Callithrix jacchus: one gene and its partner. The protein of the gene in region 2 purifies or fractionates together with the protein of the main gene of each other region. This does not show direct contact. Links are inferred from orthologs where the notes say so. Each region holds a gene or a part of one and is shown on either strand. Other genes may lie near its edges.

Region 1 (3,964 bases), on a different chromosome or scaffold from region 2:
GAGGTGCCCTACCGTGGCATTGACTGCCTCGCTGTGGCCTATGGCGTAGCTGTTAACAAGCTCACACTGCCCATCCCATCCACCTGCCCCGAGCCCTTCGCACAGCTTATGGCCGGTAAGAGGACACGGAGGGCAGGTGAGGGGCAGAGCTCCCTAGCCCAGGACGCATCCACCCACAGACCCCTTCTTATTCTGTCCCCGCTGCACGCGGTGCCCCTAGACTGCTGGGCGCAGGACCCTCACCGCAGGCCCGACTTCGCCTCCATCCTGCAGCAGCTGGAGGCGCTGGAGGCACAGGTCCTGCGGGAAATGCCGCGGGACTCCTTTCACTCCATGCAAGAAGGTTGGAAACGCGAGATCCAAGGTCTCTTCGACGAGCTGCGAGCAAAGGAAAAGGTAAGTCAAGGGACCCAGCTTTGGAAGGAGCATCTCCCCGGTCTCCTTGGGGCAGAGTGGGGGCGGGCGCTGCCGGGATCAGTGCCAGGCTGACCTCCCCGCCTTCGCTGTCTCGGCCGCAGGAACTACTGAGCCGCGAGGAGGAGCTGACGCGAGCCGCGCGCGAGCAGCGGTCACAAGCGGAGCAGCTGCGGCGGCGCGAGTACCTGCTGGCCCAGTGGGAGCTAGAGGTGTTCGAGCGCGAGCTGACGCTGCTGCTGCAGCAGGTGGACCGCGAGCGGCCGCACGTGCGCCGCCGCCGCGGCACCTTCAAGCGCAGCAAGCTCCGGGCGCGCGACGGCGGAGAGCGCATCAGCATGCCACTCGGTGAGGGGCGGGCACCTGGGCGTCCCTCGCCAGTGGCTGCGACCGCGGGGGGGTGGAGCCAGGCTGTGTGCTGACCACGCTGGGATTGGTTTAGGGTGTTGTGGGTGGGCCCATGAGCTGAAGGCTGGAAGGGGTGGAACCAGGAGTGTTTTTTCTGTCTGTGGGTGGGTTCTGGCGGAAGTATTTGCATGTCGGTCTGGAGTGGCTGCGGCCGGGAAGGGGTGTGGTGCACGAAAGTTCTGGGAAGGTCTAGGGGGCGGGGCAGGCCGGCGCTCGGACCTTTCCGACTTGGAGGCGCTTCTGGAGGTGGAGCCCAGCTTTCCTGATCCAGAACGCAGGGCTCGAGAAGCCAGTGAGGCTGGCCACTGCCACAGCCACCCTGCTGCTCCCTGCGTGGCCCGGGAGCCGGCCTTGGGCCCCTGCAGATCACAAACCTGCACCCTGCTCCCCCCCCCACCCAAACCCCAGACTTCAAGCACCGCATCACCGTGCAGGCCTCACCCGGCCTTGACCGGAGGAGAAACGTCTTCGAGGTCGGGGCTGGGGATTCGCCCACCTTCCCCCGGTTCCGGGCCATCCAATGTAAGAAACCTCACCTTTCATCCCCCTCTTCGTCCCTGAGCCCCTTATCCTCTATCTAACCTTGCCCTGGGAGGTGGATCTCACTCACTACCTCCTCTTCCTCCCTGCCCTAGGTCTAGACTGTTAGCTCTGAACTCCAAAGCTGCATTAATTTTATTTTTTTTTAGTCAAACAATTGTATGACACTATGTACTACTCATTTTCCTAAATGCTTTGCTAATAATCGATTTCTTACAGTAATTCTGTTAGGTAGTTATTTTTATTATCTAAGTTTTATAGATGAGGTAGTTATTTTTATTGTTAGCTAGGTTTTATGGATGGAGTAAAAAGTAACTTGCTACACAGCTAGTAAGTGGAAGAACCAGAATTCAAACCCAGGCAGTGTCCTAACTACTGAGTAGCAAATGTCAGCTGAAGGGCTAGATGAGATGCCACAGCCCACTGTCTGCCCCAAGACCCAAACCCATCTATCCCACCCAAAGCTCATCCTGGGAATGGTACAGGGCCCAGCCTGCTCCCCATACTCTGAAGCTGACTGTCACAGTGGAAGGAGGATACGGATCATCTCCAATTCCATTCGTTTCCCCTGTAGTGGAGCCTGCAGAGCCAGGCCAGGCATGGGGGCGCCAGTCTCCCCGACGTCTGGAGGACTCAAGCAATGGAGAGCGGCGAGCATGCTGGGCTTGGGGTCCCAGTTCCCCCAAGCCTGGGGAAGCCCAGAATGGGAGGTGAGTACCTGAGTGCCCTCCAGCCCCAGCATCATCTGCTTCCCAAGTTCTGAAATTCCTAAAGCACCCCTCCTTGCCCTCCCATCACCAGGAGAAGGTCCCGCATGGACGAAGCCACATGGTACCTGGATTCAGATGACTCATCCCCCTTAGGATCTCCTTCCACACCCCCAGCACTCAATGGTGAGTGGCCTTCCTCCTCTGGCAGGATCTGGCTGAGCTCCTTCCGTGGGCACCTTGGGGAGACCATGAGAGGCTAGCAGGCAGAGCAGGAGGCCTGCCCTGGTTGCTCTCATTCTAGAGACTAGGAAACCGAGGCTGAGACAGGACAGAGCCGATCCTAGAACCCAGGTCTGACCTATAGGCCCACAGTCAAGCTGCATACAGCCCAGGCCTCAGCTCGGGCTCAGAGTCTCGTCCTCTTATTCAGACCTAACCTGCAAGAAGGCTCTTCCCTGGCCCTGTGGCAGCCCCTGTGCCTTTAGCAGGCTCCAGGGAGAAAAGAAAGATAGGAAGCCCACCTGGCATTGGGTACCCAAGGCCCAGAGAGGGGAAGGAATCAGCCTGATCAGTCTGTGTGGGGTGGAGCCAGACAAGTGTCCGTCACACTGTGCTTCTCAGAGTCCCTTCTGGGAGCCTGTAGGTGAAGAAGAGAATGAGAAGGCTGATTAGTCAGGATCCAGGGCCCATTGTCACCACATCCAGCATAGCTCAGGGCCTTTCTCTTCTCTGTGATAATGACGGCCCTACTGTGTGCCAAACATTCCCTCCAAGCATTGATGGGGAGGGGCTACTGTTACCCCATTTTACAGATAAGAAAACTGAGTCTCTGAGAGGTGAAGTAACCCACCTCAAACCCCCAGCTGAGGATTTGAACCCAGAGAGACTTCAGCTCCCATGCTCATAGTGAGCTCAGAAGCTTTCACTTGAAGAAGGGGCTTCTCATGTATAGACTGCTTAGGTAGCCAGAGGGTTAGGCAGAGAGAAGGGCTCCAGCATCACTGGGAAGACAGCTTAGCTCAACACTGCCCATGTCTGACTGAGGCCAGAAAGCCTCCCTGCCTGTGGGTCCCTGTGCCAAACTAGGGACCATCCTTAGAGCCCCCACACCTGCTTCTCATAGCCAGAATGTAGGACCCACTTAGCTGCTCTCAGAAGAGTCCTGTTCAGCAAACTGTTTAAACTCACTCCTCCCACCCTACCCAGCCCATCACCTCCACCACTCCCTGAGCTACATTCCATAGTCAGAACAACTGCTAACCTTTGTTGGGTCTCTCCTATATGCCAAGCAGTTCTGTGAGGGGAGTAGTATTATTGGTCTCATTTTACAACAGAGGAAACTGAGGCACAGATTTAAGTGGTTTGATGTAAGGTACCCAGCAGGGCAGAGATTTGAACAGGGCCCTGGGCCCCTACCCACCCTGCCATTTGCTGCTCCAGCAGTTGCACTGCCCTAGGCAGCTGTCCTGCAGGGACTGAACTGAGAACTGGAAGGCCAAGGAGGCTTCTTGAATTTAACTTGCTCTAAAATGTACCAGGCCAGATGGGCCAAAGGAGAGCTCCAGGTCCTGTCAACCCAGGTATGTAGGTTGAAGCAGCCCCTGACTGTTCCACAGAAGCCTCTGGCCCTGAGCTCCCAGAAGCAGGGGCACAAGGGGCCTGAACCCCATTGTTTTCAAGCTTGCCTCATGGTTTTCTTTTTTTCCCAAAGTTTTTTTTTTTTTTTTTTTGAGACAGAGTCTCACTATCATTCAGGCTGGAGTACAGTGGTGTGATCTCAGCTCACTGCAACCTCCATCGCCTGGGTTCAAGCAGTTGTCGTGCCTCAGCCTCCCGAGTAGCTGGGACTACAGGTGCACGTCACCACACCCAGCTAAATTTTGTACTTTTAG
Region 2 (3,964 bases):
ATTAGTCAGGTGTGGTGGCCGGCGCCGGTAATCCCAGCTATTCAGGAGGCTGAGGCAGGAGAATCACTTGAACCCGGGAGGCAGAGGTTGCAGTGAGCCAAGATTGCACCAATGCACTCCAGCCTGGGCAACAGAGTGAGACTCCATCTCAAAAACAAACAAACCAAAAAAAAACAGCTGTGGTGGGTGACTCCCAAAGGTTTCTGTTGGTGTTCTCATAACATAACGGTCTTCTCTTCTCTGCCTCTAAGACCCAGTTTGGAACTCCATTACTGCTAAGAGAATAGCTCTGCAAGAAAAGCGGAGACACACACTACTTTCTCTGACGTTACAGGACCCAAATGGTATCCCAGGAGACCTGCAAGTATTGGATCAATAATTGGCCAAAATATAAAAAAAAAAAGGTCACCTCATTCCAAGATGTAGCGCATACTTCACCAAATTGAGACCACCACTCGTTAGAATCTTGTCTATGGGAGTTTTGCCTCCCAGCACTTCTTGCAAACCCGTGTGTCACCCCTTCTGACTTTCCACTGATTTTTCAGCTGTTTAATTTTAAAGTGTATATAATTTACCCATGAGAAGTCAAGATCTTTAAAAACAGGAAACAAAGGCAGACAACAGAAAAAATTCAGTACACATAAAGAGTTTCCAAAAGGATATCAAATTTTAACACATTTTACTAACAGAAGGAAGCCTTTATACTTACAGTCGGTACATATTCTGATGGAAATTTGTTTGTTGTGTAGGATATCAGGAGACATGTTTTACCAACAGCACCATCACCCACAACAACACACTTAATTGTCTGCATTGCTGAAATAGTTTTGTATCCACTTTAAATATTTCAAATCTGATGTTAACCTGCAAAAAGATTAAAGACATTTGTTTTGTTTATTTATTACTTATATATGTATTTTTTCCCCTCAGCAACAGGTTAACAGGCGCTCAGAGGAAGAAAAGAACACAACTATTATGGCTAAAAGAACCCAGTAAGAAAAACATTGACTTGCTAAAAGTTACAATAACAAAGTCCATTTCTAAGTTTCTGATCCATGGCTGTTTCAACTTCTTTAGTGTTATTTTTAAAAGGTCCAAAGTGGTATGCTAAGCAGCATATTCCTTTTTATAAAGAGAGAAGGCCAGGTGCAGTGGCTCACACTTGTAATCCCAGCACTTTGGGAGGCCAAGGCAGGTCAATCATGAGGTCAAGAGATCATCCTGGCCACCCATCTCCACTAAAATTACAAAAATTAGCTGGGTGTGGTGGCGCATGCCTGTAGTCCCAGCTACTCAGGAGGCTGGGGGGAGAATCACTTGAACCCAGGAGGTGGAGGTTTCAATGAGCTAAGACCAGGCCACTGCACTCCAGCCTGGTGACAGAGCAAGACTCCGTCTCAAAAAAAAAAAAAAAAAAAAAAGAGAGGAGGCTATATCAGAGAAAATTCCAAGTATTGTGCAGTATTATTTTGTGAAAGCTGTTCTCTGGTTACATGTGCACACACACACACATATATATATATATATGCATGCATGTGAACTAGACTGAAATACAAAGGCCATGCTTTACAGAATGATTCATTATCCAGCCTTAGGGCTATAGTTACTCAGGCTCTAACCAACAAGCAACAGAGCACCACACGATCACACAGTAATTACATGAGTAACATGAGGAACTGAACAAAGATCAGGGTGATCACTGGTCTTAGCAGCTGTTTTAGCACCAGAATGCCTAGTCCAAAACTTATATTTTTATAATGAAAAGGTCAGATTGCTCTAAATCATAGTGACTTATAAACAGATACTATAGATTCTTACTAGAGTCCTCCATTTTAAGAAGCTATCAATTACAAGTACCAAAGAGTCATTAATTTGAGATGCTTTTTATCACATTTAAACATCTCTAAAGTCAGAATGTATCTTCATTGAGAGTCTCTTAGAATCATTATCAGCCGTTTTCCCCCACATTTTGACTTCTATGAAATTGGGATGTTAGATTCAATGAAATACTTTAATAGTTTTATGAAAGAATGAAAAGAAACACCACCCAAGATATACCTAGATTTTAAGATAAAGTCCTATTTAAATTATAATCCTAAAGGGATTATAATTAAACATAAAAATACAGAACTACCTCACTCTTAGTCAGATGCCACATGCTTCTATAGCACCATTCACAACACTTCATCAAAACAATTTATAAATGCCTATTAACATCTCTGTAAATGAATGTATACTACCTCATGTACCACGATACTTCTAGCACTGAGCACTTCTAGACCAGTGCACTGGGAGCTACTAAATGGATGCAAAACTCATGGAACAAAAAGAATATGAAACTGTTAGTATGAGTAACCTACAAGAAATATACTCTCCCGTTCCTCATCAAAATTATCTGCAGTATATTTATCTTTTTTTTTTTTTTTTCTTTTGAGACAGGGTTTTACTCCCATCACCCAGGCTGGAGTGCAGTGGCACAATCTCAGGTCACTGCAACCTCCACCTCCCAGATTCAAGCAATCCTCCCACCTTGGCCTCCCAAGTAGCTGGAACCAGAGGCACATGCCACCATGCCTAGCCTTTTTTTTTTTTTTAAAGAGAGACTGGGTCTCACTGTTACCCAGGCTGGTCCTGAACTTCTGGGCTCAAGTAATCCACTCACTTAGGCCTCCTAAAGTGCTGAGATTACATGCATGAGCTAACCACAACCAGCCATATTTATCTTTCTTTATTCAATTTCCTTTTATATCTCCTTTTTCCTTCTCTTTTTATGCACTAGAGAAGCACCCAAACTTATATAGCATTAAAAGTTAAGGGCCCTGACCCTTAAGCTAAATCAATTACTGGTTCAATCTAAAAACATTCTCAAATAATAATAGTAAGCTGCAAACTCTTATATAGCATTTTACTAAGTGCCAGGCACTACTCAAACCATATTACACATATTCACACATTTTATCCTCCCAAAAAGCCTATGAAGTATGTACTATATCATTCCTATATTAAAGGTAAGAAGAGGCTCAGCAAGTAACTAAGTGAAGGTCATTTAGCCAGTAAGGGGTAGAATTATAATTTAAACCCAAGCAGTCTGACTCTGAAGTCCCTCCTTTTTTTTTTTTTTTTTTTTTTTGAGAGTCTCACTCTAAGGCCCAGGCTGGAGTGCAGTGGCATGATCTCAGCTCCGCTGCAACCTCTGCTTCCTGGGTTCAAGCAATTCTCCTGCCTCAGCCTCCCGAGTAGCTGGGATTACAGGAACATGCCACCACACTTGGATAATTTTTTTATTTTTAGTAGAAACAAAGTTTCACCATGTTGGCAAGGCTGGTCTTTTAACTCCTGACCTCAAGTAATCCAACCACCTGGGCCTCCCAAAGTGCTAGGATTACAGGTGTGAGCCACTGTGCCCAGCCTCAAGTCCCGGCTCTTAATAAACATTACATTACACTATACTGTCTGAGAAGTGACATTAATAAAAACAAATGTAATCAGTGCTAGAGGAGTGACAAGCATATATCCACGAGTTACCAGCATTGCAAACAGGAAGGCAAAAATAAAGAAGAGGAAGCAAAAAACAGGGGCTAAGCTCACTTCCTGTTTTTCACTCTGCATGTAACTACTGAATTTTATTGGGAAAAGGGAGGCAAGAAGAAAGAGCAAGATAGAGTTTGCCCTTCCCCTTTCTATTTATCCAGAAGTCTTCTACTTCTTAGACTTCCTGACCTGACTGTTAGCAATTTGTTACAAACTGGTTGGTTGTGAGTCCCCTGTTAAGAGCCTAGAAGTTTTGGAATCAGAGTGGCTTTACCACACTCTTGCTATGTCACCTCTGTGTAGTTTGGTTTCCCCTTCTGTAAAATGAAAACAGTATTACTTTTCTCATAAGGTAAATTGACTGAATAAGATAATACATGCAAAGAACTTGCAACAGTACTTGGCATACAGTACATGCTTAGTAAATGTTAAT

What was found.
Region 1: the proteins of CDC42 (region 2) and MAP3K11 purify together in Homo sapiens (affinity purification with western blotting; 3 studies listed by BioGRID and IntAct, with this or other methods). This does not show direct contact. The link is inferred for Callithrix jacchus from reciprocal best matches to the Homo sapiens genes CDC42 and MAP3K11.

Annotation. Positions count from the first base shown.
Region 1 is NC_133511.1:122,692,724-122,696,687, reverse strand, and holds part of MAP3K11 (mitogen-activated protein kinase kinase kinase 11), read left to right. Parts: coding exon 1-115; intron 116-220; coding exon 221-396; intron 397-518; coding exon 519-762; intron 763-1,230; coding exon 1,231-1,344; intron 1,345-1,936; coding exon 1,937-2,072; intron 2,073-2,163; coding exon 2,164-2,255; intron 2,256-3,964. UniProt on the Homo sapiens protein: Activates the JUN N-terminal pathway. Required for serum-stimulated cell proliferation and for mitogen and cytokine activation of MAPK14 (p38), MAPK3 (ERK) and MAPK8 (JNK1) through phosphorylation and activation of MAP2K4/MKK4 and MAP2K7/MKK7.
Region 2 is NC_133508.1:58,835,375-58,839,338, reverse strand, and holds part of CDC42 (cell division control protein 42 homolog), read right to left. Parts: intron 865-3,964; 5' UTR 815-864; coding exon 710-814; intron 1-709. UniProt on the Homo sapiens protein: Plasma membrane-associated small GTPase which cycles between an active GTP-bound and an inactive GDP-bound state. In active state binds to a variety of effector proteins to regulate cellular responses. Involved in epithelial cell polarization processes.